Linked DNA regions of Canis lupus familiaris. The protein of the gene in region 2 purifies or fractionates together with the protein of the main gene of each other region. This does not show direct contact. Links are inferred from orthologs where the notes say so. Each region holds a gene or a part of one and is shown on either strand. Other genes may lie near its edges.

What was found. The genes of interacting proteins can lie anywhere in the genome.
Region 1: the proteins of ATXN7L3 (region 2) and TAF9 purify together in Homo sapiens (affinity purification with mass spectrometry; 6 studies listed by BioGRID and IntAct, counting the BioPlex papers as one, with this or other methods). This does not show direct contact. The link is inferred for Canis lupus familiaris from reciprocal best matches to the Homo sapiens genes ATXN7L3 and TAF9.
Region 3: the proteins of ATXN7L3 (region 2) and ATXN7L2 purify together in Homo sapiens (affinity purification with mass spectrometry; 5 studies listed by BioGRID and IntAct, counting the BioPlex papers as one, with this or other methods). This does not show direct contact. The link is inferred for Canis lupus familiaris from reciprocal best matches to the Homo sapiens genes ATXN7L3 and ATXN7L2.

The regions. Positions count from the first base shown.
Region 1 is NC_049257.1:19,523,889-19,526,875, reverse strand, and holds TAF9 (transcription initiation factor TFIID subunit 9), read left to right. Parts: upstream 1-1,422; 5' UTR 1,423-1,550; coding exon 1,551-2,348; 3' UTR 2,349-2,487; downstream 2,488-2,987. UniProt on the Homo sapiens protein: The TFIID basal transcription factor complex plays a major role in the initiation of RNA polymerase II (Pol II)-dependent transcription.
Region 2 is NC_049230.1:19,072,517-19,076,555, forward strand, and holds the start of ATXN7L3 (ataxin-7-like protein 3), read left to right. Parts: upstream 1-1,239; 5' UTR 1,240-1,425; intron 1,426-1,912; exon of another isoform or gene 1,913-2,364; intron 2,365-2,788; 5' UTR 2,789-2,848; coding exon 2,849-2,899; intron 2,900-3,192; coding exon 3,193-3,325; intron 3,326-3,530; coding exon 3,531-3,702; intron 3,703-3,881; coding exon 3,882-3,979; intron 3,980-4,039. UniProt on the Homo sapiens protein: Component of the transcription regulatory histone acetylation (HAT) complex SAGA, a multiprotein complex that activates transcription by remodeling chromatin and mediating histone acetylation and deubiquitination.
Region 3 is NC_049227.1:42,829,321-42,833,523, forward strand, and holds the start of ATXN7L2 (ataxin-7-like protein 2), read right to left. Parts: upstream 2,801-4,203; 5' UTR 2,771-2,800; coding exon 2,644-2,770; intron 2,480-2,643; exon of another isoform or gene 1,654-2,479; intron 1,476-1,653; exon of another isoform or gene 693-1,475; coding exon 627-692; exon of another isoform or gene 255-626; coding exon 150-254; exon of another isoform or gene 138-149; intron 1-137.

The DNA.
Region 1 (2,987 bases), on a different chromosome or scaffold from region 2:
ATTCCTTTAGTTAATGGGCAATTGAGTTGTTTCCACTTTGAGCTACTGTGAGTAATGCTGCTATAAGCATTTGTGTACACATTTCTGCGTGTACCTATGCTTTCATTCTTTAGTGTATATACCTAGGAATGGAATTGCTAGATCATAGGGCTACATCACAGAAATATAGGTCACAGAAATATAAATTCCTGCCCAAGAGAGTTAAGATACATGTAAGTCTCTTAATATGTATCTCCAAGTTGCTTTTCAAAAAGCTTTGAATTAAGTTTTAACTCTATGATTGAAGATCTTACTGTTATTCATGGTCGGTTCTCAGGAGTAATGATGTCCCAAAATAACAGCCTAGGACAGTGTTGTCCAATAAAAATATCATACAACTCATTAGGTAATTTAAAATCTTCTAGTAGACACATTTTTTAAAAAAGTAATAAACAGGGGAGTGTGGGTGGTGTAGTCCGTTAAGCATCTATCTGACTCTTGATTTCAGCTCAGGTCATGATCTCAGAGACATGAAATTGAACCTCACCTCGGGTTCTGTGCTGAGCACCAAGTCTGCTTGGGTTTCTCTCTGCCTCTCCTTCTGCCTCTCCCCTTGCACACTCGCGTGCTCTCTCTCTTTCTCTCTCAAATAAGTCTTTAAAAAAGTAATAAGTGAAATTAATTTTAATAATATATTTTATTGAACTCAATATATCCAAAATATATCTTTTCAAACTATATATTTAAAAATTATTGCTAAGGTTTTTTTTCTTCTTTATTCACATTCAGTTTCTGAAATCTAACATGTGTTTTACACTTTACATCTCCATTTGTTTTTGTTTCTGGTTTGTTTTTGTTTTGTTTTGTTTTGAGATTGTATTTATTCATGAGAGACACAGAGAGGCAGAGACGCAGACTCCCCACAAGGAGCCAGATGCAGGATTCAATCCTGGAACCAGGGATCATGCCCTGAGACAAAGGCAGATGCTCAGCCTCTGAGCCACCCAGGTGTCCCTCACATCTCCATTTGAACTAGGCACATTTCCAGTGCTCAGTAGCCAAGTGTGGCTTAGTGGCTACTGTATGGAATAGCACAGGTCTAGGAATTTGGCTATCTTCTTTGGAAGGTGGCAGGCGGTTACTTTTAAAAACATATCCTCATTTATGTCCCTTTGTTACCTTACTCTTTTTAATAAAAATGAAGCAGAAACAAAATTTAACTGACTAAAAAAGCCTCCTAGATAAGAGAATGGCTTACTAAATACTGTTTTACTGCTTCATATTTCTACCTGTTGAGTAACAATGTATAATGGGTGAAAAAAAAGACAACTTTAAAAGATACACTCCTTTATTCCAGCTTACTTGAACAGATCCTGGGGCTAGTTTTGTTTCTAGAATCTACATTATGTTACTGAATGCTAAACACCAGTGCAATGTTGCTCCCGAACATCCTGCTCACCGGTACCCCGGGGGTTGGAAAAACCACACTAGGCAAAGAACTTGCATCGAGATCAGGATTGAAATACATTAATGTGGGTGATTTAGCTCAAGAAGTCTGATCAACAGATATCATGGAGTCTGGCAAGATGGCTTCTCCCAAGAGCATGCCGAAAGATGCACAGATGATGGCACAAATCCTGAAGGATATGGGGATTACAGAATATGAACCAAGAGTTATAAATCAGATGTTGGAGTTTGCGTTCCGATATGTGACCACAATCCTAGATGATGCAAAAATTTATTCAAGCCATGCTAAGAAGGCTACTGTTGATGCAGACGATGTGCGGCTTGCCATTCAGTGTCGTGCTGATCAGTCTTTTACCTCTCCTCCCCCAAGAGATTTTTTATTGGATATTGCAAGGCAAAGAAATCAAACTCCTTTGCCGTTAATCAAGCCATATTCAGGCCCCAGGCTGCCACCTGATAGATATTGCTTGACGGCTCCAAACTATAGACTTAAGTCTTTACAAAAAAAGGCATCAACTTCTGCGGGAAGAATAACAGTTCCACGGTTAAGTGTTGGTTCTGTTACTAGCCGACCAAGTACTCCCACTCTTGGTACACCAACCCCACAAACCATGTCAGTGTCAACTAAAGTAGGGACTCCCATGTCCCTCACAGGGCAGAGGTTTACAGTACAGATGCCCACATCACAGTCCCCAACTGTAAAAGCATCAATTCCTGCCACATCCGCAGTTCAGAATGTTCTGATTAATCCATCATTAATTGGGTCCAAAAACATTCTTATCACTACAAACATGGTGTCATCACAAAATACTTCCAATGAATCATCAAATGCATTGAAAAGAAAACGAGAAGATGATGATGATGACGATGATGATGACGATGATGACTATGATAATTTGTAATCTAGCCTTGATGCTGTAACCTGTAAACTTGGTCTTAAATCCATTGTACTGAGATTAAACGTGCATGCTGGGTATTTTGAAGTTGTGTTGTAGAAAACTTAAATGGTATTTAATGAGTAAATATAGTTATCCTTTCCTATTGAATGTTGGGTTTTCTTTAATAGGATTAGTAATGGTTATTCATTAGCCTTTAAGTGTGAAAAATAAAATTGTTGTTCATCAAAAAAAAAAACAAAAAACACCAGTGCAAACATTCTCTTAAATTAATAAAAATTTCTTTTGTTGAGTCTTTAATGATGAAATGAACAGGAAAGAAGAAAAGCAAGAAATAGATTTGACTGTGCTATACTGATGAAAACCATGTTTTTCAATTTATTCTCACAATAAAAAGTATTTGATCTGAAATCCTATATAATCCCAGGATGCAACAATCCTTCTCTGTTGTATGGCAACTTCCTGCCATGCATAATTATTTTCCAAAAGCGTATCAGGTCAGAAATGAAGCAGAGAATGGGGGAAAGAGTCCATAGTGATCTTAGGCAGATTTTATTTTACTAGTAGGAATCAGTTGGATAGTTATTACCACCTGGCACTGCTAATGAGTCTAGTTGGGAAAACAAAGCAGCAAAGCATTCCACA
Region 2 (4,039 bases):
TTCCTCCAGAAGGCAAAGGGGAACTCGGAGGGCGCGCGACCACGGGGAAGTACTACCCCGGGGAGTAGCGCGGGGTCGGAGGGTCTGGCCGGGGCCAGGCAGGCTGTCCGAGAGGTGGGGGGTCCAGCGTGGGTTCCGGAAGCAGGAAAGCCGAGCAGGTGTGGGATCTAAATTAGGCTGAGGGCGGGGAGGGCGCTCGGCTCAGAAGGACAGAGCTCGGCCTCCGCCCTCAGCGGAGGACCCTCATCTCGGGCGTTCGTTGGCTCGCAGGCCTGCAGTGGGCTGAGACCCGCCCAGAAACAGGGGATCGGAGGCTGGGACGAGCCCCTCTGGCTCCATAGATTTTCTGCCTTGAGGTGCTAACAGAGCCCCACTTCAACTCCGGCCTCTTCCGAGAAGTGGCTGCACGCTACGGGGTAAATGCCGGCGTTGGGGCGCCGGGGGGCGGGAGGAGGTGTGTGTGTGGGGGAAGAGCCGGGAGCCCCGAGGGAAGGGCGGGGGATCCTGGGCCGGAAGGCGTCCCAGGCTCGGCTGGAGCCGGCGCTCTCTTTCGACGCCACCCGCTGCCCCCGCCCCGGAGCCGGCCGGGACGGCACAACGTCTCCGCCCCCAGCGCACCGCGCACCTCACCTTGAACGGCGCTCCACCCACCACCATCCTATTGGGCCGGCCGGACCGAGGCGAGACGGCGATTGGCCGAGGTGCCCGCCGAAGGCCCCGCCCATCTCCCCGCCCCCGTCCCCGTCCGCCGGTACTTTGGACGGCGGCGTGGCGCCCCTCCTCCCCGCCCGGTCCCCGCCCCCTGGAGCAAATGCTGCCGAGCTGCGGCCGCGGGGCAGATGCACGCGCTCGGGCCCTTCTAGCAGGCGCGAGCAGTCGCTGGGCGCGCGAAAGCGAAAGAAGGAAGAGGAAGGGAGGGCGGGGGCGGGGTGTTGAAGAGGGGCGGGAGGAGGAAGAGGAGGAGGTTGGAGCGCGCTCGCGCTTGGCCTCGCGCCCGCGCGGAGGGAGGGGGAGAGGGGCGCGCGCGCGCACGCTCGCGTTCTCGCTCGCTCCATCCATCCATCCTCCGGTCGCGGCACGCGCGCGCGCTCCGGGCTCGCGCCGCACCCCCCGCCCGGGAGAGGCGGGCTGGAGTGGGGGGCGGGGGGAGGGGCGCGCGGACGGCGCGCGGACTGCGCGCGGGCGGGGTGAGGTGAGGAGGAGGAGGCGGCGACGGGACGAGAAGGGAGGGGAAGGGGCCATGGCCGCCCGGTGAGGCGGCGAGGCGGGGGGGCGGCCCGACCCCCCGGCCCCGGGCCCTGGGCCCCGGGGAGAGGCGAGGACGGACCGACGGACATGGGGCTCCGGAGCAGCCGCCGCCGCCGCCGCCGCCGGAGGACGCGGCCCTGAGAGGCCGCCGGGCCCCGGCGCGGCCCCCCGGGCGGGGTGAGTACGGGACGGAGACGGGGACGGGGGAGGGGCCTGCGGGGGGCGGGGGGCGGGGCCCGAGGCGGGGCTTGGGCCCCCTCCCCCCAGGTCTGGGTCAGCGCCCCTTCCCCTCCCCCCGGGCCGACGCGGAAACGCCCGGCTTCCCCCGGCTTCCCGGCCCGGCCGGGGCCCCCAGCTCTCCCCCTGTCTGGGTCCCCCCTGGGCGGGGCAGGGCCGGCCGGGGAGGGGGCGCGGGGCCTTTGTTAGGGAGCCAGGCCCCAGCCCCCGGGACAATAGAGACACCCTCCCGGACTCCTCTCCCCGGCCGGCTGGGGCTGTCGGCGGGGGGGAAGGAGAGGGGCCGGGACGCGTCCCACTCTGCCCACTCTCTAGGGGTCGGTCTGTCCCGGACCGGCGCCGGCCTCGGGCGGCTCGGCTCTCCTCCCCCCAGTCGGTATGATGCAGCAGCAGTGCCGCAGGGACGGGGGAAGAGCCGAGGCCCGGCCTCCTACCCTCCCCGGTGCCCCTGGCTCATTTGTCAGTCCCCACCCCACTCTAGGCCGGCAGCTCCTTAAACTCGTACCCACCGTTAAGAGGGGCCCCGGACTGTGGGCGCTGTTTCAGAATCCTTTGGTGGGGATTCCTGGACTTTGGGGCTCTTGGAGAGACTTCCGGGCTGGTCCTGAGGGAGGGAGGGTGGTTATCTAAAAAGAAGAACAGGTAAGGGGAGTGCCCACTCCCGGCATGCCATCCCCACCGGGCTCTACCCCTCCTTCCTGCTCATGATGGCTAGAAATGCTCCTTCAGCTCTAGGCTTCTGTGGGCTCTGTGCCCCTTCTGTAGTCACAGGCTTATTTCAAGGGAAGACACAGTGGGGTGAAGGTTGTAGGGCTCTAGGGCTGTTCCTACTTCTGGTAGCAGTACCCCCCCAAGTGGACATCCTGGCTGAAAGCAGAGGTGACTCTGAGGAGAGCCTAGGGAAGGGGGGGGGGGGTATTTAGGAGTCTGTGCAGTTCTTTGCCACACCCTGTGGGTTTGCTTTGAGGCCTTAGAGTTCCTTCTCCTCCCCCTGCTGCATTGCACCATGGGTATGGAAGAGGGGTTTGAGTTTGGGGGACCTGGGGTGAGCTGCTGCCTCCTATGGACTCAGACTTGGACTGGTAGCAGAGTCCAGGGCCTGAGTTCAGTCCTGGGAAGGACTAGGCCGCCTTTGGGTTTCAGGCCCTGAAGGACCATCCAGACTTAGTGAGCCTAGGCCTTGGGGAAGGGTAGATCCTGATGCCAGCATTAAGCTCTGGGCAGTGGGGTGCAGAGGGGAGGTGGCAGTCTCCAGAGGTGTCTTGGACTCACACCAACATCCCCCCCACCCCCATGTGTGCAGCCGTGTTGCCGCCCGCTGTGCTATGAGCAGTCAGAGCGCCGTCTCCACAAGAGTTTACAAATGAAAATGGAGGAAATGTCTTTGTCTGGCCTGGATAACAGCAAACTAGAGGTGAGGGCTCCCCCACGTGTGCCTCTAGTTCTTTCTCTTGATGTCTCTACGTCGCTATATCTGGCGTTCACACCAAAGAGGAATTTGGGTAGTCAGCCTGGTTCCTTAAAGGGAATAGCCAGCTGAAAAGGCCCAAGGCTCCGGAAGAAGAAAGGATGCGAAGTCAAGATGGGGAAAATGGCAAAGAAAGCATTATTTTTGGCCAGGGCGAGTTGGCAGATTTGGTTGGTGAGAGTTGCTCTCAGTCCAGGGGGCCAAGACTCCTGACCGTGGATGTTCTCCCCTGGGCCCAGGCCATCGCTCAGGAGATATACGCGGACCTGGTCGAGGATTCTTGTTTGGGATTCTGCTTTGAGGTACACCGGGCTGTCAAGTGTGGCTACTTCTTCCTGGACGACACGGACCCTGATAGCATGAAGGATTTTGGTGAGCTTCAGGGTTGAAGGAGAGCCATCCGGCCCCTGTCCCGGGGATACTTGCAAGTTCCTCCTCTGGAAACTGCACCAGACGTAGTACCTGGGGCTCCTGTGAGCCCAGGCAGGGGGTTTCAAGAGGCCATGGGGCCATGGGCGGGAGACAAGAGGTGAGGGTCCCCTGCCTGCCCTGATCGCCACGCCTCTCCTGTCCCCAGAGATCGTGGACCAGCCGGGGTTGGACATCTTTGGACAGGTTTTCAACCAGTGGAAGAGCAAGGAGTGTGTCTGCCCCAATTGCAGCCGTAGTATTGCTGCCTCTCGCTTCGCTCCCCATCTGGAGAAGTGCCTGGGAATGGGCCGGAACAGCAGCCGCATCGCCAACCGCCGGTGAGGGCGTCTCTCTCCGCTAGAACCAGAGATGCTGGTCCCACCTCTTGTAACTTGTGGCATGGTGTAGTCCCCCAGGGGCATTGGTGGGGCACAGAGGGTGGCTCGTGCTTGGCCTCTGTGGTTGGGGGCAGAGAGAGGTGGCTGTCTTGACCCTTTCTCTTCCCTTCCGTTGGTAGGATTGCCAATAGCAACAATATGAACAAGTCAGAGAGTGACCAAGAGGATAATGATGACATCAATGACAACGACTGGTCCTATGGCTCAGAGAAGAAAGGTGTTTGGGGATTTGGGGAAACTGGCTGGGGGGACAGGGGGATGCAGCCCATCAGGGTGA
Region 3 (4,203 bases), on a different chromosome or scaffold from region 2:
ATCCTCTGAAGCCACCCCCAGGACCTTCTGACCCCCCCCCCCAAGGCCTCCCCGCGCTACCCACATGACCTCCCAACTGACCCTTTCCTCAGAGGCCCATGTTCCACCTTCCCCTGTCCCCTCTGTCTCCTCCCTAGGGCTCGCCTCACCGCAGTGCTTCTGGAAAGCTTGAGGCTTCACCACTTGGCTGCAGTGGTTACACACAACCAAATAGAAGTCGTCATGGGCAGGGCAGTGCCCGAAGATGGACATGTCTGCAATGAAGAAGCCCTCATCACTGGGGCTGGGGATCCCAGGGGTTTCCCTGTAAGGTCAGACAGCACTCCCACCCACCCCGCGCAGAAGACACCTCCCCCTCCCAGCTGACATGACAAGCTTTATGCTGCATGCTCTCAGCTTCTAGAGATTCATCTAAGAAGGAGCTGTTGGGTGAGTGAGCCCAATCACCTATGATTAGGATCTCCCACAACAGGTCACAGGCGGTAGGTGAATGGGCTGACTCAGATCTAGCAAAGTGAGGCTCCCCAGGCCTGCTGCTTCAAGCAGCTACCTCCTGGGATATGCTGGAAGAGAGGAAGGTGGTCCTGTCTGCCCTAGGCCCCAGCCTAATGTGTGTCAACTCCCACCTTCTTTAATGAGGGTCATGGCATCCAACTTCTTCGTGTTTTTGTTACTCTCCTCCAACTCAGCCCCTAGAGGAGAAACACAGCTCAGAAGGAACACCTCCACCCCAGAAGCCCCATCTCCTACCCAAGCGGCAGCGGCCTGGCAGCAGAGCAGCAGGAGCCCACAGTCCCTAACACGCTTCTGGTGCTCAGGATCTGGTGCTCAGGACCGCTTACAGTGCCTTTCAGCAGGTCATTCTCAAGTGCCCATTCTTCCTTCACCTGCTACCTCTGGAATGGCCTGACCCCATTAGGAAGGATCCTGTCACCTTTCTTATGGACCCTTCACTCCAAGGTGCGATTCCCAGCTCCACTGCAAACTACTGGGCGATTGTGAATAAATATGATCTCTTTTCTGGGCCCGCTTCCCCATTTAAATGGGAAACGATCCTTAACATATTTTACTACAAATCTCTAAGTCCCTTCTTTGGAGATTTCTCTGATGCGTCCTTTCTGCTACTCTGTGCCGTGCCAAACAGGTACCCTCCCAGGTCCCCATCCCCATGAATGCTATTCTGTTCCACCTGGGTTACCCTGGTACTGACAAAGTTACACCCAGCTTCTGAGGTCCTGTGCTGACAGGATGGTCACAGAGCATCCTGAGAAGAGAAACTGCTGTCTGGCTGGGGGGGTCCTCTGGCATCCTCAAAGTCCCTTTGGTCACCTATGCAAGCCCCTCCCCTCCTTAGGAGGGCTCTGGGCAAGGGTTGCCCTTCTACCTCAGTTTCTGGGTTGATGACAAAAACATCTTAGCTGTGCAAAGCAGCTCTTTCCCCCATCCCCCTACCTTACTCCTCTCCCCTCCCTCCTCTATGCCCCCTCCCTGTCCCTTGGAAAAAAAATCAATTCTGAGTCACCAAACCCGTCTGATTCCATTTCCGGTTCTCAAAGCACCCAGACCCTGACAATGGCCCCATCCTTGCCCACCCAGCATGGGGCAGTCCTGGGGTGGCCTGGGCTTCCACTGAGATGTGCTTCTAACACCTACCAACAGATTTGCCCCTTTCTAGGATGAGAAGTTTCACTGACAGTCTTACATAATCTCTGTATACGAGGGGTAGTGGGTTAGGCAGGCAAGAGACAAGGGGCAGCTCCCACTCTTAAGTCCCTTAAAATGCAGTGATGGGCAGAGCTGAGCTGGGAGTCGGATGTCTCAGAGGAGAACAAGTGTCATCAGAGACGGCTCCATGCGGTCTCCTCCTCCACCTCTTCTCACTTGCAAACTTCTTCAGGGCTGTGATGCCTGCTGTCACCCCAAAGGCCACGAGGCCAGGTGCCCCCTGGGGCCCAGGAGACAAAGATCAGCAGAAGGGGCTGTCAGCCAGCTTACCAAAGGCACTCGGGGGCCTAGAGAAGGTGGGTGTCAGGGGAGAGAGCCAAGAGGCAGGGCAAGAGGCCCGGGAGAGGACTGAGGGTTGGAGGCACAGAGGGATGGATGGACGAAAGGAGGGAGGAAGGGAGGATGGATAGATGGATGGACCGACGAACTAAAGCGGAGGGGGCGGGGGTCCAGTAGCACTGCAACCCGCAGGCCCAAACGCCGTAACGGAGCAGGAGGTGCGGGGCAGAAGGCGAAGGAACAAGGGGGGTGGGAGGGGGGCACAGAAGTGGGGTGCGTGGGAAACACGTGGAGAGGGCTGTTGCGGACGGGGAAAGCCCTGGGCAGGTGCAGGAGGGGCGGAAGCTAGAGGACAGCAGGCGAAGAGAGAGATAAAGGCAAGCAGACGTGGGGGCAGGTGCCGGGCACCGGTAGAGGCAGAGGTGGGCAGGGTGGGCTGCGGGCGGTGGGCCGGCGCTAGGACCCGGAGGCGCGAAGGTGATGAGCGGGCGGGCACTAGGACCCGGCGGGTCCTTTGTTTGGGGGGCCGCGGAGCCGGACGGCGGCTGCCGTCGGCGGCTCCCCTCTGCCGGCGGGGGCCCGGAGGGGGGGAGGGGAGACGGTGATGGGGTCCCCGGACTCGAGGGGGGCTTCACTCACCGTCGGCCGCGGGCAGGTCGGCCCGTTCCACCCACGAGCTCCAGCTCTGTCCCGCGAAGTCATCGAGACTCGGCACCCGCCGCTCCAGAGCGGCCATTGCTGCCGCCGCGCGTTCACGCACCGCCATCACCGCCGCGGACGCGCGCCCGCCCCGGCGCCTCCGCCGCGCGGCCCCCGCCCCCCCGCCCCGCCGCGGGCACGCCTCCCCTCCCCCTCCCCCCGCCAGCTCACGCTCTGCGCAAGCGCGCCACGGCTCGTCGGCCCCTCGCGCTCCCTCTCGTACAGCCTTCTGGGAAGTGTAGTCTTGGGGGGGCGCTGTTGCCTACCGAGCTTGCAGCCAGAGCCCCTCCAAAATGCACAACTGCGGGGGGCGAAGAGACCGAAGGCCCGGGACCCCCTCTCTTAACCCTTGTGCACCCACTCTCTGTGCTACCAGCCCGCTCCCGCAAGCTCCCTGCACCCCCAGCCCCAGCCCTCTCTCTGCCCGAGAGCCCTTCTGAGCCGTGCCTCCGCCAGCTGGCTGGCGCCCCTTCCCGGGCTGGCGGTCAAGAAGCGACTTCGCTCCCCCGTAGATCGAATAGGGTAGGTGCAGGGAGGTGGGCGCTGTGAATCAGAAGGGCAAGGGGAGGGAGTCTGTTGGATGTGCTGAAGGACACAAGGGTTGGAGTGGGGGAGGGTCCTCGGCTCCCGTGTTGTGCCTCCTCTGTGGGCCACCCACGGTGCCCTGATGCAGTCTAGAGGGCTGGGGTGGCGTTGTCTGGGTTTGGGAGGACCTAGATGAGCTGATCAGGATCACCTGTCAGGATGACAGAAGGCTGTCTCCGAGCCAGAGCCGGCCCCGAGGCTGCTGGTCTTTGCAGCATCTCTGCTGATCCTTCTCTCCTCCTGAGAACTGCGATCGATACCCTGTACCGCCTCTTCCCAAACCCTGGCTGGACCCTGACTCCATCCATCACTTTGGCTTCCTTTTTCTAATGAATATTTTCTCTGCTGGAAGGGCTGCTACCAGAGCCTAGGCATAGGGAGATTTCTCATCAGATCTGTCATTTTCCTTACTAAGGCCTGGAAAATACCTTAATCATCCTCTTTCTTCTTTTCAGCTGATAACATTTCTTCCCACCCTCCCACAACCAAGAGACAAAGCCTGTCCCCCCCTATCACATCAGAAAAGAGATACTAGTCCTCTTTTCCCTCTTCAACCCTCACAGCTCACCCCAGATTCATTCCTTCAGCTAAAGGAAACCAAATTGGAGGCAAGTAAGTCAAGGTCTGTGACTTCAAGAACTCAGACTTTCTTTTCACTTTCACCCAGGGAATGTTTAAGTACTAGGAAGATAATCTCTGAGGGCAGAGATTCTTAACCCGAGAGCCACAGATTGTGGGGGGGGGGGGGGTGTCCAGGAACTTGTTGAAATTGAATTTAACATTGTGTCCAAATGTGTTTTTTCTAGGGAATGTAAGGGTAGCCTGTAAGAAGGGCAAGGGATATAGAGGTGCAAGTTTGTTCAGAAAGAACCTTCATAGTTAAAAGGGCAAGGCATATGGCCCTCACCTCCTGAC